2 linked regions of the Elephas maximus indicus genome follow. The protein of the gene in region 2 interacts with the protein of the main gene of each other region in a biochemical or structural test. Links are inferred from orthologs where the notes say so. Each region holds a gene or a part of one and is shown on either strand. Other genes may lie near its edges.

Region 1 (14,803 bases), on a different chromosome or scaffold from region 2:
CTTTCTGTCTCTTGGGCTCATAATTACCTTGTGTCTTTGGTGTTCTTCATTCTCCTTTGCTCTGGGTAGGTTGAGATGAATTGATGCATCTTAGATGGCTGTGTGCTAGCGTTAAAGACCCCAGACGCCACTCCCCAAAGTGGGATGCAGAATGTTTTCTTAATAGATCTTATTATGCCAATTCACCTAGATGCCCCCTGAAACCATGGTCCTCAAACCCCACCCTGCTACGCTGGCCTTAGAAGCGTTTGGTTTATTCAGGAAGCTTTCTTGCTTTTGGTTTAGTCCAGTTGTGCTGGCCTCTCCTGTATTGTGTGTTGTCTTTCCCTTCACCTAAAATAGTTCTTGTCTACTATCTAATTAGTGAATACCCCTCTCCTTCCCTCCCTCTCCACTCTCATAACCATCAAAGAATATTTTCTTCTCTGTTTAAACTATTTCTCCAGTTCTTATAAAAGTGGTCTCAGAAAAAAAAAATTTCTTATAAAAGTGGTCCTTTTACAACTGATTTCCCTCAGCATAATGCCTTCCAGATTTCTCCATGTTATGAAATGTTTCACAGATTCATCATTGTTCTTTACCAATGCACAGTGTTCCCTTGTGTGCATATACTATAATTTATTTATCCATTCATCCGTTGATGGGCATCTTGGTCGCTTCCATCTTTTTGCTATTGTGAACAGTGCTGCAATGAACATGGGTGTGCCAATATCTGTTCGTGTAAAGGCTCTTATTTCTCTAGGATATATTCCAAGGAGTGGGATTACTGGATTGTATGGTAGTTCTATTTCTAGCTTTTTCAGGAAGCACCAAATCGACTTCCAAAATGGTTGTACCATTTTACATTCCCACCAGCAGTGTGTAAGTGTTCCAGTCTCTCCACAACCTCTCCAGCATTTATTATTTTGTGTTTTTTGGATTAATGCCAGCCTTGTTGGAGTGAGATGGAATCTCGTTGTAGTTTTGATTTCCATTTCTCTAATGGCTAATGATCATGAGCATTTCTTCATGTATCTGTTCGCCATCTGAATGTCTTCTTTAGTAAAGAAGTGCCTGTTCATATACTTTGCCCATTTTTTAATTGGGTTATTTCTCTCTTTGTAGTTGAGTTTTTACAGTATTGTGTAGATTTTAGAGATCAGACGCTGATCAGAAATGTCATAGCTAAAAACTGTTTCCCAGTCTGTAGGTAATCTTTTTACTCTTTTGGTGAAGTCTTTGGATGAGCATAGGTGTTTGATTTTTAGGGGCTCCCAGTTATCTAGTTTCTATTCTGATGTTTGAAAAAGGTTTTTTTTTTTTTTTTTAAGACACTGACAAAACTGTCTGCAATCCTAACACAGAAAAGAACCTCATTGTCTTTTAGTAATTCAACCAATACACGGACTAGCCTATGTACACACAGACCCAGAGGTATACACACATACACAGTAACTCACATACATACATGCCACTTCCACACACACATACTCCTGCTCCCATACACGCCCTTTCACTCACACATACACCAGTTCCCACACACATGCATACATCCCTCCACACCCACTCATACCAGCTCCAACATACACCTGCTTGCCCTTGTTCTGTCTTTCTCTCACACATACACACACACTACAACCTTCCACACACAAAGACATCCTCACACACACCAAACATGCTCACACACACTCAATCTCAAGGTTAAAACAGATAGGAAAGGACCCTGAAATAACTAAAAGGTACAGCCAAACGTCCTCCGGCCAAACCAAACTCATTGCCATCGAGTTGATTCCAACTCATAGCGACCCTATAGGACAGAGTAGAGCTGCCCCACAGATCTCCCAAGGAGCACCTGGTGGATTCGAACTGCAAACCTTTTGGTTAGCAGCCATAGCACTTAACCACTATGCCACCAGGGTTTCCCCAAATGTCCCAGGGACTACCAAATGCCCACCACCAAAGGTGCACAAATGAAAAGCAGGGAGACCCTCTGAGCGTCAACACTTACTTCAGGAGCTGACTTCTTACAGGTACTGACAAAGACAGACAATGACTATCAAGGTTACTGAAGGGCATTCAATGCTTCAACGTGCAGGATTCTCTGAAAGGTCTCAAGGTGACTATCAAAATGTAAATGATTAAACCAATAAAATGTGTAAGCAGTCTTTAAGATTATACTTAATTCCTTTGAAAAATAAAACAAAAAGAAGCCTATACTTTCTCACACATTCTTAGAATTAATTTTATAATTTCTGCTTTATGATGGGTTGGTTCTGATTACAAGAGCATTAGTCCTCTCAGTATGAAGGGGTCATGTCAGAAAGAATCTTCAGAAACGGTCAAAACCAAAAGCAAAGAAGTTTCCTGAATAAACTGAATGCTTCAAAGGCCAGCGTAACAGGGGCGGGGGGTTGGGGACATCTAGGTCAATTGCCATAATAAAATCTATTAAGAAAATATTCTGCATCCCATCTTGGAGAGTGGCTTCTGGAGTCTTAAACGCAAGCAAGCGGCCATCTAAGATGCATCAACTGGTCTCAACCCACCTGGAGCGAAGGAGACTGAAGAACACCAAAGACACAAGGTAAGTATGAGCCCAAGAGTCAGAATGGGCCACATATGTCAGAGACTACATTAGCCTGAGACCAGAAGAACTAGATAGTGCCTAGCTACAACCGATGACTGCCATGACAGGGAACACAACAGAGAATCACTGAAGGGGCAGAAGAGCAATGGGACGGAGACCTCAAATTCTTGTAAAAAAGACCAGATTTAATGGTCTGACTGAGACTAGAAGGACCCCAGAGGTCCTGGTCCCCAGATCTTCTGTTAGCCTAAAACAGGAACCATTCCCAAAGCCAACTCTTCAGACAGGGATTGGACTGGACTATATATAAGACAGAAAATGATACTGGCGAGGAGTGAGCTTCTTAAATCAAGTAGACACATGAGACTATGTGTGCAGCTCCTGTCTGGAGGTGAGATGTGAAGGCCGAGGGCGATAGACGCTGGCTGAATGGACATGGAAATACAGGGTGGAGAGGAGTGTGCTGTCTCATTAGGGCGAGAGCAACTAGGAGCATATAGCAAGGTGTATGTAAGGTTTTGTATGAGAGACTGACTTGATTTGTAAACTTTCACTTAAAGCATGATAAAAATAAGAAAAAAAAAAAAAAGAAATGGTCGAGGCCTTATAAATAACCTTTTCCAGCTCCACAACTAATGCCTGGACAAAACTGACTACAGATTCCTGCTTCAAGAAGACACAACCAAAAAGCTCCCCTGGAGTCCTCTCTGTCCTTTCTTTTGCTGACTCCTGCTAACACTGTGTTACACTACACCACACCTGATCTACCACCAGATGATGTAATAAAATCCAAACACACCTGACACCACTAAAAAAAAAAAAAAAAAAAAAGGGACACAAAAGCCATCTGTATTTTATAAATGGGAACTGCTTCTATTAAAAATTCAGATAATCCACTTACATAATTTAGAATGTTACCTTCATAAACAGATTATATAGAGGATACTGAACTTGCTACCTCTGAAAACTTAATAATAATCAAGAGAACGTAGTTGCTTTCATCAAGGACAGTAATGTGACCGGCTTGAGTCTCCTGCACTCCATATTTTGAAATCGCAAGGTGGAAAGTACAAAAACCTAAGGTCTTGATTGTTGTTTAACTGAACTGTTCGTACAGTTTTAAAATAATCATGAATGCTTAGAAAAGAAACCTTATCTCTTAGAGAAGTATGCTGAAGTACTTATGGATGAAATGACCTACTGTCAGGAATCTGCTTCAAAAATAACCTGGGGTAGGGGCAGGTGAGCTTAGAGATGAAACAAGAGTGCTGAAGATGGCTATGGGGTTTCATTCTTTTTACTTCTGTGTATGTTTAAGACTTTTCATTTAAAAAGTTTAGAAATTATCATCATGCGGTGGACTTCTCTAAACTCCTTCACTGTAAGAGAATATTTCTTCTCTTTGCTCCTCTATAATGTACGCTGACGTTGGACTAGGTAAAAACAAGCCTGAAACACAATTAAAAAAACCCATCACCCTCAAGCTGATTCTGACTCACAGCGACCCTACAGGACAGAGGAGAATTGCCCCAAAGGGTTTCCAAGCAGTAGCTGTTGGATTCGAACTGCCAACCCTCTGGTTAGCAGCCAAGCTCTTAACCACTACACCACCAGGGCTGGCAAAAGCTTAAATGGACATAAAAGTTAACTTTTCATTACCCTGTAAATTATCTACTCCAAAATAGCAACCTAAACAGCTCAAAGAAACCACGAGCTCTCCTCCACCACCCCAAGAACAAGTTTCAACGAGGAAAATCCAAGTCAAGACATCTGCATCTCTTCCAACAGTCCTCTTCCTGAGCAGTCTGGAAGAGCAGACAGAAGCTCCTCTGCATTCTCTGGTCTCTCCAACCCCTGAGTCATCTGGCCTTGCCCCCAAACTTCAAATTCCAACAGACACTGTCAGAGCAAAGGAGCAAAGACTCATTTCTATTTTGTAATGATAAGAAAGCTCAGCCCTAAAGAGCAACCCAAAGTTTTTCCCACTGTGATCAAAGTTACAAGAGATGTTTCTCAAGTGAAAAGAGCTTTACGGAAATCAAAAGATAAAGGTTTGCAGGGATATTTTTGAGCCACCAATTAAATATAAGAAGTAGAAACCATGTAAGAAGGATTAAGAGAGAAAGACCTAGTTATAGTCCCTGTTCTAGCACTGACTAGTTTGAGGACTTGGAAAAGCTATTTAACCTTTCTGGGCTTTCCAGTTTCTTATCTGTAAAGTGGAGATGACTCCTGCTTGCCTACTTACCACCTCAGAGACTCATGATGAGGATCCAGTGAAACTGACAAAGAGCATCATGTAAGCTATAAAGTATTTATTCTACCGGAGTCAGGGCTGGTAAAGATGAGCAAACAGGATGCTTTCCTAAGGCCTTTGATTGGTGTAACGAAGCAAGAGCACATGTTTGGATAAAAAAGATACATCATACTAGTAAACAACAACCAAGGATACCCAAGGTGCTCCTGGGACTAGAGGCAAGAAGGAAAATATCAAGAGTTCAGGCCAGCAACCACAACCCATGACAAACATACAGGAAACTATTGGTTGGATAGCTTTTCGCCCATTCGAAAAAGAGATGGGAGACCTGCTCTGAGAAATGCCATGTGGTCATTACACTGACACCAACAATGTTCAGGATGCCCAGCACATACCTGCACATCATTCTGGACTGTCAGGTCAGCAAGAAGCCCTGATTTACTTGGACTGCTCAATAAAAAAAAAAAAAAAAAAAAATTTAATAGGAACTGTAAATACTCTGGGAGCTCAAAATCCCTCATAAAGGTTAATAGCAGGGTGTCAATTTTACCTCTTCTTAAAGACCACCTTGGCTCAAACATGCATATGTACTTGAACAGCCACTTAACAAATGTCTGTGTGTATGAGAAGAAAATATGAAAATCAGCAGATTAGCACTTAAGTGATTTCCTACCAAGTTAAATATTTAAAAGTGAACACTGGCGAGCTATGTGCTAACCACTGGATTTCTAGCAGAACACACATGCCTGCTTCTGTCTCCACCTACCCTGGTGGTGTAGTGGTTAAGTGCTATGACTGCTAACCCAGAGGTCAGCAGTTCGAATCAGCCAGGCACTCCTTGGAAACTCTATGGGACAGTTCCACTCTGCCCTATAGGGTCGCTATGAGTCGGAATTGCCTCGACGGCAGTTTTAGGTTTAAACTTTCCTAAGTGCTGACACAGACAGGAGAGGAATGGCTGTAGCAGCCCCAGCACTAGGTGCATTCTCCACCTATCTACAGTCTCACTCCGCCTACAAGCGTGGGGCGGGGGGGGGGGGGGGGGAGGGGAGCACTGGTGGAGTCCTGCAGGCTCTTTGCACTCCCCAGGGTGCCCCAAGGCTCATTCCCTTTCCTTCCACACAAAAGGAACAGAAGTCAAAATTTTTAACTCCAAGGACTTTCTACAAGCATCCCCTGTCTTCTAAACAATAAAAGAGGCCAATTCTAAGTAAAATATATGCCAACAACACACAGCAAAGTAACTGCTCAAAATCGGGGTCTATTGGTCTGGTCTAACAGGGCCTGCAGCCTGGCCTTTGCGGTCCTAACCCAAAACACTTCGTGCATTACTTCAGCCAAGGCAGAGAGCTGGGGAAACCACCGTGGGCCTTCTTCTTTGGGGAGAGGGAGGGCATCTTCATTAGGCAGCTTCGGGGGATGCCGCGGGGGCCACAAGCTAACCCTAGTTTAGGACGAATCCAGCTGTGTAGAGCTGGGGGGCAGGCAAGGGAAAAAAACGAGGTCCCTGAAATAAAACTCCCTTTTTTATAAGGGGGAAGAGGCTTTAGCTAAATTAAACCAGAGATGAAGGCAGAAGAGCGGAATAAAAAGGAAAAGCAGGTACCGAAGTCCTAACCAGCATTTCACGACCCCAGCGGACGTCTGCCCCCGAACTACACTGCAGGAGGACGGCCACGGCCCCGTACCTGCTCGGCCCCGTAGACCGTGGCAAACTGCACGAAGTCTTCGATGTGCACGAAGCCGTCCCCGTCGCTGTCCAGGGCCTCGAACACGGCTCGGAGGCGGGGACCATCTTCCGGAGCCCCCGCGGGCTCGCTCGGCCCGGGGTGCGTCTGACCGGGTTGGTGCGGAGGCCCCGGGCCCTCCAGCGTCCGCTCGCCCTCCGCAAGGGCGGAGAAGGGCGCAAAAAAGCCTCCCTGGGAGCTCATCTGGCGGCGGGACTCGAGGTCCTCCACGCGCAGACACGCGCTCTCCCGGCAGCTCGGGGCAACGTGCTCCCCCGGCTCCGCGCTCCAGGGGAAGAACGGGCCGGGCTCCGGCAGAGGCGGGTCGGGGCCGGGACCGGAGGCCGACGCCGGCGGGGGAAGGCCGCCTCCTGGGCCCAAGGGGCCGGCGTCGGAGCAGGTGTCCTCGCTGGCGCCGGGGTCCGGCTCCTGCCGCGGGCTCCCGCCCGGCCCGGGGTATGCTCCAGCACGGGGCCCCTCGCCCGGCGGCTCCGCGGGGCCCGGCTCCATCTTCATGGGCGCGGCGCCGGCCTGGCGAGGCTGCGGCGGCGCGGGCGGCTCCACAGACGGACAAAGGCGCTCAGGGCGCGGCGGCGGGCGCGGGCATCCCGGCGGCGGCGCGGGCGGGGGCGCCCGGGCTGCTCCGGCTGGCGCTCGGGCCCTGCTCCACCCTCGCCCATCTTCGCGCCGCGCCTCAGCTGCCCTCGGCCTGGCGGCGCGGTGGACGCGGGCCCATGGCTGCAGCGGCCCGAGGAGGCCGCGGAGGGGTCGAGGCGGGAGGGCAGCGCGGTACCGGAGGAGATCGAGGAGGAGCCAAAGCGCCTGAACAAGCTGAAATGCCAAGTGAGCCGACTCGGCCGCCGGGGCCCCTGGCCCCGCCCCCGCCTGAATGACGTCAGAACGCCTCGGCGTCTGCAGACCCCGCCCCTCCCAGGCCATATAGAAGAAAGTCGGCGCCAGGTTCCGGTCGGAGGTGCTGCTGCTGGCCCTGGGTGGTAACCGACAGTCTTGGTTGAGACCTGTAGCTTAGCCGTCTGCCTGTGGGTACCCTCCCTCGCTCCCTGCATCCTCGAAGTTTGGGCATGCGAGGGCCCCAGCGGGCGCGACGGCGACCTACGCACCCATCAGATAAATGTCGCCAAGGGGCAAGCGAAAAGCCCAAACTGTGCACATGTCACAAAGGAGCCAAGCCCTTCCTGCGTATGACGCGCGCACAGATTGATCAGCAAAGAGCAAAACCCAAACGGAATGGAGCGCACATTCCCTGAGGAAGCAGGTGTTCTTCAAGCAGGTGCCCGAGGTTGAGGGATGCCCCCGAGGTCACGCGCAGAGCGGTGGAGGTAGGCGTTCTTGCGGAAAGTGCGGCCCTTCCCACTCGGAACCGAAGGAACGCATCCAGAAGCAGCGAGACATTTGTTTCAACCTGTGGCAAAGGTTTTTAAAAACACGACGGCCAGAGTTACACTCGCGTCTCCATCACGCCTCCCGAGCGCTGTGTCTGTCTTGGTAATTGTCTGTTTTTCATGTGTCCCTGCCATCCTTGGGGAGCCAGGCACCCCTGGCAGGCATGGAACTGGAGACGTGCTGGTTAGGAGCAGGTGAGCTGTGAGGCCAGGCGGCGCTATATTTAGCCAGTGATGGAGTGTATCAGGGGAGATAATGAGCTCGTATTTTTATATACCGTGGGCACCGGCACCATATATGGTTTCGTATGTAGCTTTGGCAAGAGCCAAATGAAACCCAACCACGCTGTTTCTAAGTACATGCTTGAGGAGCAGTATGTTAATTAATGAATCATTTCCCATACAAAACCCCAGGGCACCAGATTTTGTGAGGCTGGCATTGGAAAAGGAAAAGAGAGGATTTCCTTCTCCCTCACCCCAAATATATTCTCATTTCCGTGTTCTAGCTGCAAGCTTTCATGTGGAAAATACTGGGTTCAAAGAAAAAGCCATCTCCAGTTAGGGCAAGAATTGGAAATTGGGCTGATGGGTCTCAGACACATTTTTCAGAGGCAGTTTTATTGACACATCATCCTTTATAAATAGGTGTGTTGGTGTGGGTGAGGTGACGCTTTCTATGTAAGATTCTGTCAGAGGGTAAGGCTGCTTGGGTGGACGGGCACTCCTCTGCGCTGCGCCTCCCTGGAAAATGTTGACTGCCTTACCCTCTGGTGTGCCCACAATGGCGACATCAAAAGCATGCATTTTCCTGCTTAGACTACCTAGAGAGAACTCTGTTCATGAAAAATTAAAAGCGGTAAGTTCCTGGTTATTCACTCAGATTCTAGTGGGTCCCCTTCATGGTCCATGTAAAATTTCAATCGAGAACATTCCAGCCCAGATTAAATGAGCCAGAAGCAATAGGAAGCCGCTTCTGCCGCCCTTTTGACAATGCCCTTCTCACGTTTATTTATATATTTAGAAAGGTAAAAAAGCACACAAGGCACCCTGGTGCTAATCAAAAGGTTAGTGGTTCAAACTCACCCAGCGACTCTGCTGGAGAAAGACATGGCCATCTGCTCCCTGTAAAGATTGCAGCCAAGAAAACCGTATGAGGCAGTTCTCTGTGTGGTCACACACAACAACACAACAAAAGGTACACAAAAGAGGAAGGGAGGGTGGGGTGCAGTGCACATCTGTTGGTTTTCAGAGCAGGTGAATTCCTGTGAAAAGCTCCCTCTGTAAAGCTTCACTTTTGAAAGGATGCTTGGGAGAAACACCTTTTGGGACTGGTTGGGCAGGTGGGTTTCCTTTATCCCTCTTCCCTGAGTGAACTTCGGCTTGTGGAGGAAGATGGGACCGATGAAACCAACCTGGGTGACTCAGCAGATTCCTGCTATGTGGCATAGGGAGGGGTAAAAGGGTCAGGAAACCTCAGGGCAAGCATGTCTCCCCAAGGGCCACTTCATCACCTGGTACTCAGTCACTGATAGGAGAGACAGAATCCTTTGTGTCCAGGAGAGGGTCAGGTTCAGAGGCCAGGCTCAATTCAATCACAGATTAATTTTTTTATGCACATTTTTTTTAAACTTGGAAGAAGTACACCGAAGTTATAGTAGACTCTGTATATGATTTTTTTGAGTCCCTAGGTGGCACAAATACTTAAGCACTATGCTGCTAACCAAAAGATTGGCAGTTTGAACCTACACAGAGGTGCCTCAGAAGAAAGGCCTGGTGATCTACTTCCAAAAGGTCATAGCCATGAAAACCCCATGGAGCAGCTCTACTCAAACACATGGGGTCATCATGAGTAAGGATCGATTTGATGGCAACTGGTTTGGTTATATATGATTTTCCACATTTTTGACAGTCAGATTAATATAAAATGCTATCTCCTTTTATTTGCACTTATCTTAATGCTAGTGCAGTTGAGCATTTATTTATTTATTGACCAACTCAGGTTCCACCTCTTCAAACTGCCCACTTGTATCCCTTGCTTGTTTTTCTATTGGGTTTTCTGAACTTCCTTAAAATCCCTTATCAGTTTTAGATGTTGCAAGTATCATCTCCATCCATGAACTCTGTGGGGGCCCTCTGTTAACAGAAATCTTTAATTTTGAGTGGTCAAATCCATCATTCCTCGAGCCTCCAGAGAGAGCATGGCCCTGCCGACACCTTGATTTCGGACTTCTGGCCCCCAACCTATGAGAGGATAAATTTCAATTGTTTTAAGCCACCGAGTTTGTGGTGATTTGTTACAGCACCCCTCAGAAAATAATATAGGAGCTGAAATAGCCAAAACAACCTTGAAACACAAGGGAAAAGTTAGAGGAATTAAACTGTCTGATTTTTAAGACTCATTGTAAAGCTAAAGTAATCAAAACAGCATGTTACTGGAGGAAAGATAGACATAGAGATTAATGGAACAGAATAGAGTCCAAGTACCAACACAATTCCAGGAGGAAAGAATAATTTTTTTAAAAGCAGTGCTGTTACAACTGGATATCCAGATGCAAGAAAAGTGAATTTAGTCCCTGTCATAGATTGAATTATGTCCCCCAAAAAATGTGTGTATCAACTTGGTTAGGCCATGATCCCCAGTATTGTGTGGTTTTCCTCCATTTTGTGATTGTAATTTTACCTTAAAGAGGATTAGGGTGGGATTGTAACAACCTTACCCAGGTCACAGCCCTGATCCAATGTAAACGGAGTTTCCCTGAGGCATGGCCTGCACCACCTTTTATCTCTTAAGAGATAAAAATGAAAGGGAAGCAAAGGGGTGGGGGGCCTCATACCACCAAGAAACCAGTGCACGTCCTTTGGAGCAGAGCCTGTCCTTTGGACCTGGGGTCCCTGCATGGAAAAGCTCCTACTCCAGAGGAACATTGATGAGAAGGCTGACAGAGAGAGAAAGCCTTCCCCTGGAGCTGGCGCCCTGAATTTGGGCTTTTAGCCTCCTTTACTGTGAAGAAGTAAATTTCTCTTTATTAAAACCATCTACTTGTGGTGCTTCCGTTATAGCAGCACTAGATAACTAAGACAGTCCCCTACCTCACCCTATAAAAGTTAGCTCAAGATGGATAATAGATTTAAATGTAAGAACTAAAACTATAAAACACCTTAGGAAAAGCACAGGAGAAAATCTTAGTGACTTTGAGTTTGGCAAAGATTTCTTAAATAAGGCAAAAACATGAACTATTAAAGAAAAAAATGGATAAATTGGACTTCATCAAAATTTAAAACTCAAGATGTACCTTTTCAAAAGATACTGTTACAAAAATGAAAAGACAAGCCAAGGACTGGAAAAAACTTTTTGAAAACATATATACAACAACTTGTAACTAGAATATGTAAGGAACTTCTGCAACTCAAAAAGACAAACAACCCAGTTTAAAAATGGGTAAAAGATTTAAACAGATACTTCACCAAAAAAGATATATGGATGGCAAATAACCACATGAAAAGATGTTCAACATCATTAGTCATTAAGGAAAATCAAATTAAACCCACAATGAGCTATTGTTTCACACCCACCAGAATGGCTAAAATTAAAAAGACTGATGATACCAAGTGTTGGCAATGATGTGGAGGAACTGGAACTTTCATACACTGCTGATAGGGATATAAAATGGCACCACTTTGGAAAACATTCTGGGAGTTTCTTCAAAAGTTAAATACACAACTTCCATATGATCCAACCATACCAGCCCTACAAAGATTTGTACATAAATCCTCATACCAGCTATATTTTTAATAGCCGAAACCTAAGAACAACCCAAATACTCATCAACAGGTAAATGGATAAACTGTGGTACATCCATACCATGGAATACCACTCAGCAATAAAAAGGTATGAGCTACTGATATACACAACATGTATGAATCTCAAAATAACGCTCAGTAGAAGCAGCTAGGCAAAAAAGAGTGCATACTGTATGATTCCATTTATTTAAAATTCTAGGAAATGCAAACTCACCTATGGTGACAGCAGATCAATAGTTGCTTGGCAATAGAGGGGTGGGGTGGGAGGGAGGGGTTACAAAGGGGCAGGAGGAAGGATTTGCTGGTGATATGTACGTTCATTATCTTGATTGTGGTGATGGGTTCACAGGTGTAGGCATGTCAAAACTCATCAAACTAACCACTTCACATACATGCAGTTTATTGTATGTTAATTATACTTTAATAAAACCCAAACCCATTGCCATCAATCCCGATTCATGGCGACCCCGTGTGTTACAGAGTGGAACTGCTCCACAGGGTTTTCTTGGCTATAATCTTTATGGAAGCAGATTGCCAGGCCTTTCTTCCGTGGTCCCACTGGGTGGGTTTGAACCGCCAACCTTTAGGTTAGTAATTTAGCACAAACCATTTGTGCCACTCAGGGACCTTCTACTTCAATAAAGCTAATAAAAAAAAACTGCCTGCCAAATATTTTTAATTTACAATTTTGAAAACTAGATTAACATTTTGTATTCAGCAAATCAGCTTACAGACAAAGTCAATTTTAAGTCTAGGTCACATTCTCCCCTATAATACTCCAGCATTTGTGACTATAGTTACCCACTCGTGTTTACTGAGATTTTATTCAGTAGGGAAAGATTTTTTTTCCTCACCTTCAAATTTGGTAAAGTGCCTTTCTTAGAGTTAAAATGGAACATCAGTTTGTAAGAACAGTTTAATCCTCCTGACTCAGCCTGAGGTTTTGATGATTTTAACATTTCTCTCTGAAATCACTAACACCTTCCTGCGATGACAAAGCAGCTACAGTGGACAAGTCCTCACCACACCTAGGGCTCTTTGTTGTTTATATTCTGGCTCCAATCTTGCCTCCCCCTTGACCAGAATCACAGATTGGGGAAGGCACTGAGGTTTGTACAAGATTCAGAACTTCCTTTTTTAGCCACAGGTTACATTTCCCAAAGAGGTGCTGATCTAGTTCACATCATTCCCCTTTCCTTTGGGTGAAACTGTCTGGGTTACATGAGATGGTGGAAGAGTTACAAGTTAATTCTGTATTTTTTGACAAAATATTTATCATTTCTTCTTCTTTAAGATACCTCCTGGGTCCCATCTTATAGAGATGCTCTGGCATACAGATGTGATGGGGCACGCTCCCCTCAAATTGGAGATAAAGTTATTCTCTGAGAGGTCAATTAGTGGAATCGTGTGTACCAATTAAATTTGTCACCGAAGAGATCACCCAAGAGATAATCAGTAATAAATGACCAAGAGTCTGGAAGCCTGCACCCATCTAACAAGGCAGTGTAGTCTAATCTCAGAACGCTAACTAGAGCCTAGTGGTAAATATGAAATGCAGTGCTTCGCTGTGTGCAGAGGTGGGAAGCACTAGTTATTTCATAGAAGGGCCCCAGTTAGCACGGAGCAAGGAAAAGGGAGGTCTGTAGAAGGGCCCAGACCACCGTGGTCCGCAGGAGAGAGGAGCCGGCTAGGCAGAGTCCTTTGCCTCTTGGGTCTCCTGTGTCCCCACTGGAGTGGCCCAGCCCTGACAGGTACACAGCATACTGGCTAGGAAGGAAAGGGAAAGAAAAAGGGAGATGGGGTGGACAAGTCCAAGAGGGACACATGGGGAATGACCCCAGTGCCCAAGGGAGCCACACAGTAAGAGTCAAGCATTTGGGAAACGGGCATTAGTGCTGGGAACCCTGACCTCCAGGCCTTTCAGGGGTGACACAGGACAAAGCAACTACCACAGGAGCCATAGCCACATTTTATCAAGTTACCTTGGGAATGGGAGAAGTCAGAGAGAAGCTCCCCCAAATTAACACTTTATTTCTTGCCATTTAAAGGATTCCTTTGCTTTCTGGTTGCTGCTGCAGCCTTGCATATCATTTAACACATAAGCAATAACCTGCACGGCTCATGACAGGGTAGGGATCCAGTAAGTGGGGGTGTGTCTGTTTGTTCTCCCAACCATATGGCTTTGAGTGCCCTCCGAGTTGGGCAGAGTGCCAAGTGCTGGGACACAGCTCAAAGCAAAACAAAGCTCTGCCTCGAGGGGCCCCCACACAGATCAACATGACGCCAGTGTAGAGACAGTGCCCAAAAGAGAGGACTAGAGTCAGGTGGCAGCAGGGCTAGGACCCTGAGGGAGACCTTGGACTGTGGTCAGGGGAGGGCCTCCCGGAAGGCTCCCCTGATTCCACTACGCCTAGTGGAAGAGGAGTCCCAGAGCAGGCCGTAGAGTATGCCACACTTTGCTTGTAAAGTGTGTGTGTGCCCTCAGCGCGGTGCGGACGGGGGGTGGGGGGGCTGGCAGGCCACACCCCAGATGGTAGCCTTTCCGTGGTTTGTAGCCCTCTGGCCAGCATTTTTCTCTTTTTTTTTTAATTGCAGTAAAAGTGTATATATAACAAAACATTTGCCAATTCAACCATTTTTTACATGTATAATTTAGTGACACTGATTACATTCATCATGTTGTGCAACCATCACCAATGCCCATTTCCAAATTATTCCACCACCCTTAACAGAAACTCAGAGCCCCTAAGCTAAGACTCCCGTCTCCCTCCCTCCTGCCCCTGGCCACCACTAATAAACTTCGGTCTCTATACAGTTGCCTATTTCATATTAGTGTGATCGTACAGTATTTGTCCTTTCGTCTGGCTTTGTTCCCTCAGCATGTTTTCAAGGTTGTCCACGCTGTAGCATGAATCACAGCTTCATTTCCCTTAATGACTGGGTACTGTTCTATTGTATGTATGTACCACATTTGTTTATCCATTCATCGTTAATAGACATTTAGGTTGTTTCCACCTTTTGGCTGTTGTGAACAGCGCTGCAGTGAACA
Region 2 (14,803 bases):
AAAAATGAGGTAATGTCTTCATACTTAAGCATACCCAAATAAATTATCAAGGTTTCAACTAAGATGTGATTTTTTTTTTTTTTTGGTTAAAGAGGAAAAACTAGAAAAGTTGGTTCTCAGCTGATATAGGGAGAGGACGATGGAGAGGACTACCATTTTGGTTTCCATAAGTGTCCCTTCACACATTTAAAGATATCCACTACTACTACATCCATTAAGGTTACGAAAATTTTTACAAATGAAAACAACTTGTTTTCATTGGATATTTTTAGTTTTTTTTGTTGAGAATCTCAATCTTTACTGTCTGTGTTTTCATCAAAATGTTTGAACTTTATTACATTATGTGCCAGGCATTATGCTAGGCACTAAGGATCTAAAAATGAAAAGGACATGGACTCTCCCTTGGAGAGCTATATAAACACATAGGTATAATACTGAGGGAAGGCTAATTCTATTGCCCCAATTAAAAGTTACAGTTGGGAAGAATTAGTAGTTTTTCTACATATTTTATTTGCTTTTTATTTCTACTATCTTATAGACTTCCTAGGACTCTGTGCCTTCTCTAAACTAGATAGAGCTCAGTTTTGAGTAAGACTGGACTAAAGGTTCAAAATAAAACAATAAACAGGGGATGGTATCTTCATTAAACAAGTATATGGTCAGTCCACCTTGCCATGGGATCACAAGTGTCCTGGCACTGAATGGGATAAAAGGAAACACGACCAGGTCATACAGAATGAGTCATTTTTAGGAGTGCTACATTGTTGACAGGTGCTGTTGAGTTGGCTCCGATTCATAGCAACCGTATGTGCAACAGAACAAAACAACACCTGGTCCTGCGCCATCCTCACAGTCTTTGCTTTGTTTAAGCCCACTGTTGCAGCCACTGTGTCAATCAATCTCGTTGAGGGTCTTTTTCGCTCTCTACTTTACCAAGCATGACGTCCTTCTCCAGGGACTGATCCCTTCTGATAACATGTTCCAGTACAAGAGACAAAGTCTTGCCATCCTTGTGTCTAAGGAAGATCCTGGATATACTTCTTTCAAGAAAGATTTGTTCGTTGTTCTGGCAGTCTATGGTATATTCAATATTCTTTGCCAACACCCTAATTCGAATGCATCAATTCTTCTTTGGTCCTCTTATTCATTGTTCAGCTTGGGTCAGGTGCACCTTAGTCTTCAAGGTGACGTTTTACTTTTTACACTTTGAGGAGGTCATTTGCAGCAGATTTGCCTAATGTGATAAGTTGATTTCTTGACTACTGTGAGACTGTCCATGACAGCCAAAGTACTACTTTGAGTATATCCCACCTGAATTTAGAGACCATCTCACTAACAAATTTGATGAAGACTAATGACCAAAGGTCAGCTGAGTTGTGGCATGACATCAAGGACATCATAAATGAAGAAAGCAAACCAAACAAAAAACCAAACCCATTGCCGTCAAGTCGGTTCTGATTCGCAGTGACCCTAACGTCATTAAAAAGACGGGAAAGAAAGAAAAGACCAAAATGGATGTCAGAAGAGACTCTAAAACTTGCTCTTGAATGTAGAGTAGCTAAAGTGAATGGAAGAAATGATGAAGTAAAAGAGCTGAACAGGAGATTTCAAATGGCAGCTAGAGAAAAGTATTATAATGAAATGTGCAAAGACCTGGAGATAGAAAACCAAAACAGAAGAACATGCTCAACATTTCTCAGGCTGAAAGAACTGAAGAAAAATTTCAAGCCTCACATTGTAATACTGAAGGATTGAGCTATAGGAATTCCAAAATAGGGGTAAACAGTCAGGGGTGCTGTTATTAGAGAAGATTCATTCTTGAATTTAAAAACAAATTATTCATTTATTTATTTTGGTGAAAATATACACAACATACTGTACTTCTACAATTTTTACATGTAATTCAGTGACATCGATTATATTCTTCAAATTCTGCCACCTTTCTCAACAACCTTTTCCAAACCATTTCACCATCATTAACACAAACTCACTGCCCCCTAAGCTTCTCATCTATCTTTTCTAGTTGCTGTTGTCATTATTCATTTTAAAATCAGAAAGCAAAGCCATTTTTAAAAAGTAAATATTTTTCTTATAAGCTGGTATTTTAGTCAGGATGTCTTAAGCTTAAGCATATTTTATGTGGATGTCAGATTAAAAATTACGAAATACGGCTTTCTATGGAAGTGTGGTTTGTAAGGAAGCTGGAGGAATCTCTTCATTTACAGACTTTGAAATAAAAGCATAGATCAATTTTTCCATAGTTAGCTTTTGGAACTTTGTTTTCAAAATTTAAAAACAGTGAAATAAAGCAAACTGAAAGGTATAATATTTTGTTCCATAAATGCCGATTTTAGTTTATCTATATTTTACCAAAAGGAAATATGTTTAAAACTGAAATTTAGTCTTTTAAAATTGTAATAACTTTAAAACTAAAGAAGAAATCAACAAAAGGTTACATCAGTGCTATGATTTAGTAGTTGTCAAAACTTACCTCTTGCAGAAGTTCTGGTTTCATTAAAATTCACTTGGTTTTTTTTTTTTTTTTTAACTGGCATGATTTTACATACAATGTTCAATTTTTTTGATGTATTTACTTTCGGACCAGTGGTTAAGAGCTATGGCTGCTAACCAAAAGATCGGCAGTTTGAATCCACCAGCTGCTCCTTGGAAACCACATGGGGCAGTTCTAGTCTGTCCCACAGGGTCGCTATGAGTCAGAATCAACTAGGTGGCAATGGGTTTATTATTATTTATTGTGTGTTATCATTATTACTTAAAATAATTCACTGTATAATTTCTAGTATGATGATCCACTTTAGATATCTAAGATAAGCCACTATATGAAAAGCTTGTCAATTGACCTATTATTTATCATGAAAGTAGTCTGTGCCTTTCCTGTCTTGTTTTGCCTATCATAAAAGACATTAATTCATTTGAATAAAGATTTAGCTACTACTTACATGCTTTCTTCTAGTCACGGGGGCACTGTACTAAATGAGACAAAGTCCCTGTCTCTGTGAAGCTTGCATTCTGAAGAATATAAATGGGAAATGACTTTTAAAAATAAATTTTTTAGTTCTAGCACAGTGCCAGTGCCAGGTAGATGCTAGTGCTTCATTGCTTCTGTTTTTAGTTACATCATGTCCTCCACTAAAAAATAAAGGCTGTTCCTTAACTATACATCTATATATGTATATACATATACCAAGCCCAGCAGATCTCCTATTTGTAAAAACTGTAATTTGCTTTGAGAAAACTATTATGTTCAAATGGATCAAAATATAATACTTGGAACTATTTGCCTCATAAGAAAAAATTCTTCCCCCAAGTATGGCCATGGCTAATGGCACTTTATAAAGCACTTAAGAAATACTGTAACTGAGTCTCAAAACAACTGTGTGACAGAGGTAGGGAGATAGCACAATTTTTGGATTAAGAGCATGGACTGTGGATTCATGATTTAATCTCAGTTCTGTGACCTTTAAAAAATTACTTAACCTCTCTGACTCTCAGTTTCCTCATATATAAAATGTTAATACTCAAAGCTACCTCGTACGTGTGCTGTATTAAAATAAAATACAATATTTGAAGTATTTAGTACAGTACACTCGATAAATGGTGGCTATTTTTTATTCTCATTAGGGATAATATCTTAACCTGACTTTACAGGAAAACAAACAGTTCATAAAAGCTGAGACTTAAGGATTCATAGTTATGAAATGGAGGGGTGACATTCAAACTCCGATCCTCTGATTCCACATCCTTCTTCGTTTTATTACAGTGCCTCTTAAGACAAATATTAAGAAAATTAGATCACTGTTAGAATATTAATAACATTAATAAACTCATTTCATACTTAAGTTTATAAGGTTTTTAACCTATCTACCATCATTAATTTTCTTAAATTTTGAAATGTTAGCACATGCTACATTACAGCATGTTTATTAAAAAAACAAAACTATATTCCGGGTTTTTTCCCTTTAAAACAAGCAAACTGATCCACTGATTCCTACTCAGAGCGACCCTACAGGACAGAGTAGACAGAGCTGCCCCATTGGGCTGCCAAGGAACTGCTGGTAGATTCAACCGCCGACTTTCTGGTTACCAAGCTCTTAACCACTGCGCCACCAGGACTCGTTTTTCCCCTTGATTGGGAGTATTTACTTAGAAACCACTACTGATCACATAAAGGAGACATTTAAATACAAAAACTTTCAGCATCCTAAAAAAGTTGAAAGCGCGGCAAGGTACGGGAATTCAAAATGCTGTAATTTTTAAGAAACGTGGGCTGGTCCTGACGAGATCTGTAAGAGAGAAGTTTCAACCAGTCAAAAGAATGGTTTCAGAGCAAACGTAGCCCGGTAAAAGTGCAGCACTGACAGATTTCTGCATGAAACACTGACCTCCCACGTGTCTTTCAGAAAACACACAGAACACAAGAGATAAAGGAGAGGCCCGGAAGGAAGTAAAAACAGCGGATAGGGCTTCCCAGGGAGACGGAGGGTGCGCGGAGTCTGGGGCGGGATGAAGGGAACTTGGAGAGCATCTGGCGGGCACCGAGGTCTAAAAGGCCTGGAAGCGGCGTGGGGGAGGTGTTCTGTCGTGGGAGCGTTTCCCCGCGAGCCCCACTATGTGGAGTCCAGGTGGATTTACTCCCCTGGTTTGGGTAGAAGTGAGGAGGACAGAGCGCGGGAGAGAAAAGCGGAGAGACGAGGAGAAGTTAGACTAGTGACAGGGGGACGCGGACCAGAATCCAAGGTTCGCGGGCCTTCTGGCGGGCCGCACCCGCAAGGCCTCCGAGCTACCGTAGCCCCGCCTCCTCCAGCGAGTGGCGCCCATGACGCTAGGCGCGCGGGCCGCTCTTCTTACAGAGGTCGCTCTTGTCCGAACGGTCGGCCTCTGCTGCGCCTGCGTAGTTGGGAGGGGAAGTGAGGCGGTTTCCTCGGCGCCTTTTCCGGCGGTGGCGGCGGCAGAGCTGGGAGGAGGAGGTAGAGGCCGGAGCGAGCCCGCGCTCGGGGCGGCGGCTGGAGGTAACCCCCCGGGTTGAGCTGGAAAGGCGGGCCTCTCGGACTCCGCTCCCTTTCGGAGCCCGGGCAGTAACTTCGCTCTTCCTCTCTGTGTTTCTGCAGGCAGCGAACCGAGTTCCCGCGAGGATCAATGACCTGACGAGGCGCCGGAGCCGCACTGCCTCTCGGGTGGCCTGGGTCGGTGGGGAACTCGGTGCTTACGGACCTCGGGCGGCCGGAGAGCCTCAGTCTCCCGTGGCTGGGTGAGGAGAAGGCGGAGGAGCGGGAACCGCGGCGGCGCTGGTGCGGCGCCTGCGGGGGGAAGGGCAGTTCCGGGCCGGGCCGCGCCTCAGCAGGGCGGCGGCTCTCCCGGCGCAGACTCAGGGCCCCGGCAGCGGCGGCGACAGGAGGAGTCAGGGTGTTCGGTTGGGGATGCCCGAGTGAGCAGCGGGCCTGGGCCTCTGCCCTTAGGCGGCAACTCCCAGCGAAGGCCGCACGGGCGCCCTCGCGGCGGGGAGGCTTCGTTTCGTTTTCGCGGCGGCGGCGGCGGCGTTGTTGGCTGAGGGGACCCGGGACACCTGAATGCCCCCGGCCCCGGCTCTTCCGACGCGATGGGGAAGGTGCTATCCAAAATCTTCGGGAACAAGGAAATGCGGATCCTCATGCTCGGGCTGGACGCGGCTGGCAAGACCACGATCCTGTACAAGTTGAAGCTGGGCCAGTCGGTGACCACCATCCCCACCGTGGGTTTCAACGTGGAGACGGTGACTTACAAAAACGTCAAGTTCAACGTATGGGATGTGGGCGGCCAGGACAAGATCCGGCCGCTCTGGCGGCATTACTACACCGGGACCCAAGGTCTGATCTTCGTAGTAGACTGCGCCGACCGCGACCGCATCGATGAGGCCCGCCAGGAGCTCCACCGCATTATCAATGATCGGGAGATGAGGGACGCCATAATCCTCATCTTCGCCAACAAGCAGGACCTGCCCGATGCCATGAAACCCCATGAGATCCAGGAGAAACTGGGCCTGACCCGGATTCGGGACAGGAACTGGTATGTGCAGCCCTCCTGTGCCACCTCAGGGGATGGACTCTATGAGGGGCTCACATGGTTAACCTCTAACTACAAATCCTAATGAGTGTTCTCCACCCATTCCCCCGGAAGGAGAGATATCAAAAACCCATTCATAGGATTATCGCCACCATCACCTCTTTCAGTTGCCACTTTCTCTTCTTTTGAATTTGAACTCTGGAGTTACTGTTCTATGGTTGGGGGTGGCGTAAGGGTTTTCTTTTTGTTTTTTTTCCTTTTGCTTTGCCTTAGGATGCTCTGATCTGTCATTTGACATGAACACAAAAAGTGCTAGATGCTCTTGTTGACTTCCAGTAAATGGGGTGGGGGAAATATAGCAATTCTTGGTAAAGCCCTTTATAATAATGGTTTGATTTTTTTATTTCGAGAGAATCTTTTTTTCCAATGTATGCTTTTTTTCTTTTTGTTCAGTTTCCTTATCACTTGCTGTAGATGGCTTATTTTGCATTCATGCAGACTCTGTTGCAAGTCTGTTTCATCTAGTAAACTGAAAATTATTGCTTAATCAAACTGCCGTTTGTCTTTTATATTTAAGGCCTTTTTCCCTCCCTTATGAGTTCTGATTTTAACTTGGTAATTTCGAATGTGACCTTTTATATCTAAGACCAGTATAGTAAATCTAGCCCACAGTGGCAAATAATGAGTAATATCGTTGTAATATGTTCCAGTTGCACATCAGTATGTTAAACAGGTAATGTAAGAAGTTCTTTGAAACGTCAGCTATAAAGTTCTGAAACATACATCATGCATGAGTAGGGATAAAACCCAAGTTCCCCATAACAGCTAACTATGCTGCATTAGACTTTGAAAGTGTAACCTGTCACGGACACAGATCTTTTCACTGCAAAGCTAGCAACTTTGCTGTGTTTTCCCTTTTTTAACTTTGGACTTTCCAGAAATTGGAGCAATAATGGTGTATGCCACACACAGATGAAGTATTTGTAGATACTTTAAGTGACTTTTTGGCAGATCTGGAAAATATACTTTTTTCTTGTTTTGAACAGCTAAGACTAGTAGATTTAAAATACTTTGTTTGTTAATAAAGCATTTAACAATTCAAATTATATGCACATTTTACTTAAAAAAAAACACATTTCCTGTTTTCACATTACAGCAACTGATTAAGCTGAACATATAAATCATTTTTTTACACAAGAGTGATCAACATCTTCATGAATTAGAACACTGGAAAACATGTTTTATAAAAAGATAATTTTGTTAAATTGTAAAATTAACTCATGCAAGTAGTAAGTCACATATCTTGTTGGTTCAGTAATATACCATCTCCTTTAAGGAAGGAAATGATGTGTAGACTTAAGGAATGACAAAGGGAAAGTAGGATGAAGAGAAAGAACCTACAGATGACAATGAATGTAAACTTACTTTTGAAGGGTAAGCAGTGTGCTCACTGGTGATATTCAGATCCTAACAAGATTACTTGCTTAACTGGTTAGGACCAGTAACTAGGTTGTTGAGACCACTATGATAATAGTTTGAACCAGATGTTAATAATGCATGATAGAGAATTGTGAAGCAGCATTTGGTTCTTATATAGCCTTAAGGATTAATTTTAGAGATCCTCGAGGAATTAAACTTAGGGAACTTCAGAAATGAAGACTGAAAAGGCAGTATACAGGAAAAGGTTTTGTTAATGAGGGTATCTGCAGACTAAAATTGAGTGGGTTATCATGGTATAGTTGGACGGTATTGGTCCTTCACGCTTTGGCCATATTGTATAATGGAGCTTTTACCAAAGATGTATGAGAAACATAAAGTTACAAAAGATGAACTATTCACAGTAAAACTCTTGACAAACGTTTTCCTTAAAGCAGATGGGAAGAGGTGCTATATTATAGCCTCCTAATGGTGCAAAGGGATTTTTGAATTTAATGTGCAACTAAGGTATAAAGTGTTCAGTTTCACTTTAGTGGAAGTATGTAGAAATTAGGCTGACAGATGCATCTAAGAATATTTTGGTTGCCTTTAAAATTCCCAAAGCTCCATCATAAATTTAATTCTTAATGTTTTAAATGATTACATTTTAAGGTCTATGAACATGGACTATACAAATATCAATGCTGTAGGAACATCCTGAAACAAGACAAGCACAAAGGTATAAATGCCTAAACTGGAGGAAACTTGAAACCCTCATGTTAATTTTTAAATGTAGTATTTCTAACTTGTGACAGATTGGTAGGCAGCCATTTTTTGTGTGTGTGTCTTAAAATAAGTGGGGACAGTTAAAATTTTATACATCAAATGATGGGTTTTGAATGTTGCAGGTGAGATGTGGTTATTTTTGGTTTATTTGAAATGTCTGACTGAAGCGGGGGGAGGGAGAAGCAAATACTTGAAAATTGGAAAACCCTAGATCCTTTGGTAAGAAATTGTAATTCTCACATTTTAAGGATAAAGAGATTTATAATTGATGTAGGTAAATCGAACCATAACTATTGGTGATCATGGCGGAGGTAATTATACGCTGCAGAAGCTATAGTCTTAAGAATTTAAGGAACAAAAAAAAAGATCTTGAAGTTTTTGTTTAATTGCATCAACTTCTGTATTTATGTGAATTTATAAACTGCAGTAAGTTTTGAATGAGGTTAATCTTGTCTAAGTAAATGAGTCTGTAGACTGTGATCTCCCCAAACTAAAAAGTACGGTTCTTGGAATTGTGTTCTTTATGGTTGTAGTGTTGGTAAAGCACTGATATGCAGAAAATAAAGGAATTACACAGTGCAGTTTCTCACGTTATGTTACTCGTTTGAACTAGATAAGTGGGGTGTGTGGTATGTTGGGCTATGTTATTTTTCCATGGAAATATGGCATAAAGTGATTTAATTTGGGAGTCTCCTGGCTTTTATGAGAACAAAAAGGGGGATCAATTTGGTTCTTGTGAATACTGGCTGTATAAGGAGTCTTGCCCTCTTAGTTCCACCAGGTTTAATCTGATTTTCCTGATGATGTAGGACACCAAAACAGTTGAAGATGATTTTTAAAAATTAACGTTCTATAGCAGTCTTTTATGCTACCGTTTGTTTCAAAATTACAACCTTGTCGTTTTTAGGAATACAGAGTTGTGTCTAAAGAGTTGGTTTAAGGAGTTGTCTTAACCCTTGACAATATATTTCTGGATTTTAAAGTTAGACCTTTTTTTAAAGGTCCAAGCCGCTTATCTGATAAAATTGGCAGAATTGTAGCCATTTAGAAAGTGAAATAGTAAACAAAGAATAACTTCTTAGATAAAACGGTTCTTTTTAAAAACATTTCCTCTGGTAAGCTTTCCTTCCTGCATCAGTAATTTTTGTAGTTTGATTTTAGACTGCTTTAATGTGATCTATAATTCCCACATTAGTATTTATTAATATATTTAGTACTGTGATTTATTAATGAATGTCAACTATTATCAGCATTAGCAATAGAAAATATTTTACTCTTTGATGGCTTTTCATGGTTTAATATAAGTTTAGAAATACAGTAGCCATAATCTGAATGGTGAAGGAGTTTAAAAACTCCCCAGAGTTATTTTCTCAGTACCTTACCAAGTGTTTGTCAGGGTTACAATAAATCCAGTCTTCTGTCTTTTCTTATAGGTAGAAATTGGCATTTGTAAAACCACGTATAGCAATTAAAAATAACTTCAAGTCTGACTGATCACTGAGCATAATGTATTTGCAATATAACATTAAGTATAAATTTAATATTCAATAGAGTTAGCTTATTTGTTTATATTGAATAGTAGAAGACAAAATTGGAAAGATTACTGTATTAGAAGTTTATAAATGAAGTGTTGGGAGACGGAGCCGTAGAAGAGGCAAAGTAACTTCTTTGCGAGAAACTTGAAAAAGCTGCTAGACTAGATCAGTGAGTTGAATGGGCAGGGAACATACAGATGAGATCAAAGAAGACAGAACAGGTCTGCAGAAGGTTAGGAATAACAACTGAAATTTGTTACTTAGGAAGCTAAAGTAATGGCAAACTTACTTTCAAGGTAATTAAAAACTATAAGAACTAATCTTTGGTACAGTAAGAAAATGCTTGGAAATTTAACCTTTTTTTGCCTTTATTTCTAATATTTTATGACTAGAAAGAATTTTAAAATCAATGTGTTCTGTTAGCCATCTTGTCCTTGGACATTTTTGCCCTTTTTAATGTATCTCATATAGGATATATGTTTCCCTCATAGTGCCTGTTTTTGAGTTGGAATCAATGGCAACAGGTTTGGGGTTTTTTTTAGTGCTTGTTTTATAAGCATGAGGGTATATTTATTAAACATATTTACTGAAAGCCTACTAATAATACGCCTGTGGCAGCACTAGGTGCAGGAGATACATCAACAACAACAACAGAAAAACGGACAAAACATCGAACTTCATGGAACTTGTATTTGTTGGGGGTTGGTGGCCTTATGAGGATCAGATGATAAGTAAATTTATAGGGTGTTAGGGACTAGGACTATATGTTATATGGTATGTTATATATAGGGGACTAGGTAGGAACATGTTCAGAGAAAGCCTCATTTAAAGGTGACACTTGAGCAAATATTTGAAGGAAGAAAATATCACCCTGGAATTGACGTAACATAAAAGATATGTGTATATCATAGGTGGGAAAACTATGGCCAAGGGTATATCTGGATGTGGCCTATTTTTCAAAGAATTGTAAGGAAAAAACTAAAATGAATATGTGACAGACGGTATGTGTGAAAACCCTAAAATATTATCTGGCCTTTTATAGAAAATATTTGTGGACCCTGGGTCTAAAGACCAGTTTTTAAGACCTTACCAAGATTTTAAGGAAATCCAACAATTTAAAGCGAAAGACCATTGTTAAATGAATAAGTTCTAATCAAAATTTTAGAAAACAGTGGCATATGTAATTAATGGAATTTGCACATTTAGTAAGCCCTGAGACCTGTTACTGATTTCAAATATAGAATAGCCTAGCCTGGATTTTTTTTCTCCCCGAGTAATTTTAAATGTGTGAAATCAGGAGTTTCTCAGTACCAATATCAATTTTAACAGTCTTTAAAATTTTGTGAATAATTTCATTTTAAGTGTTTCCCTTTTTTAATGGTAGTTTTACTGATCTTTGGATTTAAGGTAAATGCGCTTCTCTGTTAAAGAGCCCTTTCTTCCAGATAAAACCCAGATAAGTTTGGAATAGGTTCAGATAACATCACTGAACTGTGGTTTTTATTCATTTGGTGTTAACTGTATTCGAGTCCTGAATCCAGTATTTTATATTATGAAACTTTTAAAAAGGAAGTGTTTTATTGACTTGGAAACTAATATGTTGCATGATAATGGCATTACTCCTTTAACCATTATAAACTACGAGAAAACTTTACTTCACACATGAAATATTTCTTGCTTGGAGAGTTGCTCTATAATGCTTGGAACATACCTATAAAGTACTGTGTGGGAACCTAAAACTATTTAAAAAGAGAAACTAAACAATTTAGCAAGAGTTATAGAAATGAGTATTATGGAAGACATTTATAAATAAGCTCTAAAAAAGGTGAAAGCACTTGTAGTTCATAGAAAGACCCATGAAACTGGCTATTTATGGCTGATTGCCATTAAAACTGAGTAGTCTGGCCTGAGAAGGGTGTAGCAGATGAAAAGGAAAGAGACAAATTTATTGAGGGAGTTAAAGAAGCAAAGATTAGATCTTGGAGGCTTATTCTAATATGGCAAACCAAAGTGCATTCTTTCAATTATCTTTTTCTTTCTAAAAGTTAGTTGTGTGAATAAGTCCTAGGTTGTAGCCAGGCCTGAAGAGATTAAACTGGTAAACAATTTAAGAATGAGAACATTTACCGAATGTTTGCCATGTTCCAGGCATTGTTCTAAGCATTTCATGTGTGTTAATTCTTTTAATCTTCACAACCACCTTGGGAGAAAGGGCTCCCATTTTATAGATGAGAAAACAGAGAGGTACATGTTAATAATAAGTAGCAGAGCCAAGATTTGGACTATGTGCCAAACTATGATTGTGACTGAGGTGAACCAGCAGTTAATACTGTAATTGTTTTTTGTATGTGTATGTTTTCTTACAAGTGGCTTGCCTTGAGTAATCTCTCGTAATTTTCTTTGATCATGAACAGATTTTTGAGTCTCTGTAAAATTTGTGTCCCTGTTGGAGTGTCCTGTATAATGGGGAACATGATTTTAGGCTCTGTGAGACTTTTTTTTTTTTCCATTAATAATTGAATGTGATTACTTGGTAAGATTGTGAATTTTACAGATCATCATGAAAAACAGGAAAAGTTAGTTTTTACTGAGCTGATTATTTGCATGCTTACTTTTGTATATGTCACTTTTAAGAAACAAGTTTTAGAAAAATGGAACTGAATGAAATTTTATGTGTATTGAACCTCAATTATAAAATTAAGTGTGTAGTTTTTATGAGCAGTCCTTCATTGGACTGATTAATGGGAGGATAAAAGTGAAATCCAACCCAATGGCTTACTAACTTGTGTGTTCCAAAGGTCATGAGCCAACTCGACCATGACAAAGTAGTTTTTAAAGGAATTGTAATGAAATAATATGCTACTGTATAACACAGTGAGACACCTACAATGTATACCTCCATTTTGCTGGTACACACGTGTGCATGCTTGCACACATGTATACACACACACACATACTGTCTCTCACACAATTTTTTGTTATAAAGCAGCAGGTTAATTGCAAGATACTGTGCAGAGATCTGATAAATTTGTAACTACAACCACTTCAGGTATCATTCAAATGAATAAAGGAATCTCTTGCTTTGTAGATGCCATTACAGTTCACTTTTTGTAAGTGAGGTCTACTTGAAAAGAACACTATATCCCCATGTGTATATGTGGGTCAGCTAGAGTACTTTAATCATGCACATTGGGGTTTAAGCTAGAATTTAGGAGTAAAAGTTGCATGCACATTGGATTTTAAGCTGAGATATAAGAGTAAAAGTTGATAATTTTTGTAAAATCTAAAATGCTTTATTTAAAAATTCTATTTTATTTGTCAATAACTTATATGAGGTAGAAATTTAAGGTTAAAACTTGTTGCTGTCAAGTCAATTCTGATTCGTAATGACCCTATAGGACAGAGTAGAACTGCCCTGTGGAGTTTCCAAGGAGTGGCTACTGGATTTGAACTGCCAAATTCTTGGGCAGTAGCCAAGCTGGTAAGACATAAAATGTGAAATGGTCAAAGTAGGCAATTAGTCCTGTGTTAAATACGAGATAGAAGGGAGAGAGATTATATTGTGGGCTGGAGTGGGCTAAAGAAGGCCAGTGGGGATTTAGCTAGACCTACAAGATCAGAATAATTATTTATTATTATTGCAGGCTCAGCATTGTTCTGAGTATGTTCCATGTGTTATCTCATTTAAAATTCATGAGCAAAAGTTGATGGGTAGTAACATACATAGAGTATTTGGGAGACAGAATAGACTAATCTGACTAGAGTTGCCAAATTTAGCAAATAAAAATACAGGGTGCCCAGTTAAATTTAATTTTCAGATGAATAATAAATAATTATTCTGTATAAATAAATATGTTACAAACAATATTTGAGACATACTTCTAAAAAGTTATTTGTCATTTAACTGAAATTCAAATTTAATTGGACATCCTGTGTATTATCTGAAACCCCATGTCTGACTTGAGTGGAAGGAGGGGACATATGGTTCAAAATAGTCAAAAATTAGATTTTTTTTGTTTTGAGGGCCCCAAGAAATAGACCAAGTAGTTTGGATATTGTTTTGTGTGCAGTGAAGCCAAAAAAACAAACCCATTGCCATTGAGTCGATTCTGACTCATAGCGACCCTAAAGGACAGAGTAGAACTGCCCCATAGGGTTTCCAAGGAGCAGTTGGTGGATCCAAACTGCTAACGTTTTGCTTAGCAGCCAAGCTCTTAACCACGGAGCCACCAGGCTCTGTTGTGTGTAATAGGAGCCACTGAATTTTTATGTTTAAATATTAATCTAGTAGCTGTGTATGGAATCATGTATCAGTGTAATGGAAAAAGTTTGGAGAAAGAAGTCCTTTCAAGAGGTTTTGTTTACCAGGTGAGAAAATAAGGACCAAGAATGGAGTAGAGAAAATGAGAAACATGTGGGATAACAAAAGAAATTGATCGAATAGGTTACTTATGGAGGAAGAAAGAGTTAAAGTTTTTTTTTTTTAATTAAATTTAATATACATGGAAAAACATACCAATTCAATAGTTTCTGCATGTACAGTTCAGTGACATTGATTACATTCTTCGAGTTGTACAACCATTCTCACTCTACTTTTCTGAGTTGTTCCTCTCCCATTAACACAAACTCACTGCCCCCTAATATTCCTATCTAAATCTTTCAAGTTGCTGGTGTCAATTTGATTCCATATAGATCTTGAAATAGCAGACATTTTTTAATAGTTAAGCTAAACTATTTGGTTTTAAGATTTCAGGGGATATTTTTGTTTAAGGTTTAAAGATTATCTCAGGGCAATAGTTTCAGGAGTTCATCCAGCCTCCATGGCTCTAGAAAGCCTGGGTTCCGTGAGAATTTGAAATTCTGTTTTGCACTTTCTCCCTTTTGATCAGGATTCTTCTATAGAATCCAACAGGGAAGTTTTTTTTTTCCTTTTTTTTTTTTAATTATGCTTTAGGTGAAAGTTTACAGCTCAAGTCTCATTCAAAAATTTATATACATATTGTTTT

The links.
Region 1: the proteins of ARF6 (region 2) and RAB11FIP3 form a complex in vitro, tested with the Homo sapiens proteins (2 studies listed by BioGRID). The link is inferred for Elephas maximus indicus from reciprocal best matches to the Homo sapiens genes ARF6 and RAB11FIP3.

The regions. Positions count from the first base shown.
Region 1 is NC_064830.1:57,689,446-57,704,248, reverse strand, and holds the start of RAB11FIP3 (rab11 family-interacting protein 3), read right to left. Parts: upstream 7,165-14,803; 5' UTR 7,067-7,164; coding exon 6,512-7,066; intron 1-6,511. UniProt on the Homo sapiens protein: Downstream effector molecule for Rab11 GTPase which is involved in endocytic trafficking, cytokinesis and intracellular ciliogenesis by participating in membrane delivery. Recruited by Rab11 to endosomes where it links Rab11 to dynein motor complex.
Region 2 is NC_064828.1:62,170,666-62,185,468, forward strand, and holds ARF6 (ADP-ribosylation factor 6), read left to right. Parts: upstream 1-5,408; 5' UTR 5,409-5,617; coding exon 5,618-6,145; 3' UTR 6,146-8,843; downstream 8,844-14,803. UniProt on the Homo sapiens protein: GTP-binding protein involved in protein trafficking that regulates endocytic recycling and cytoskeleton remodeling. GTP-bound form plays an important role in the transport of multiple palmitoylated proteins form the Golgi to the plasma membrane.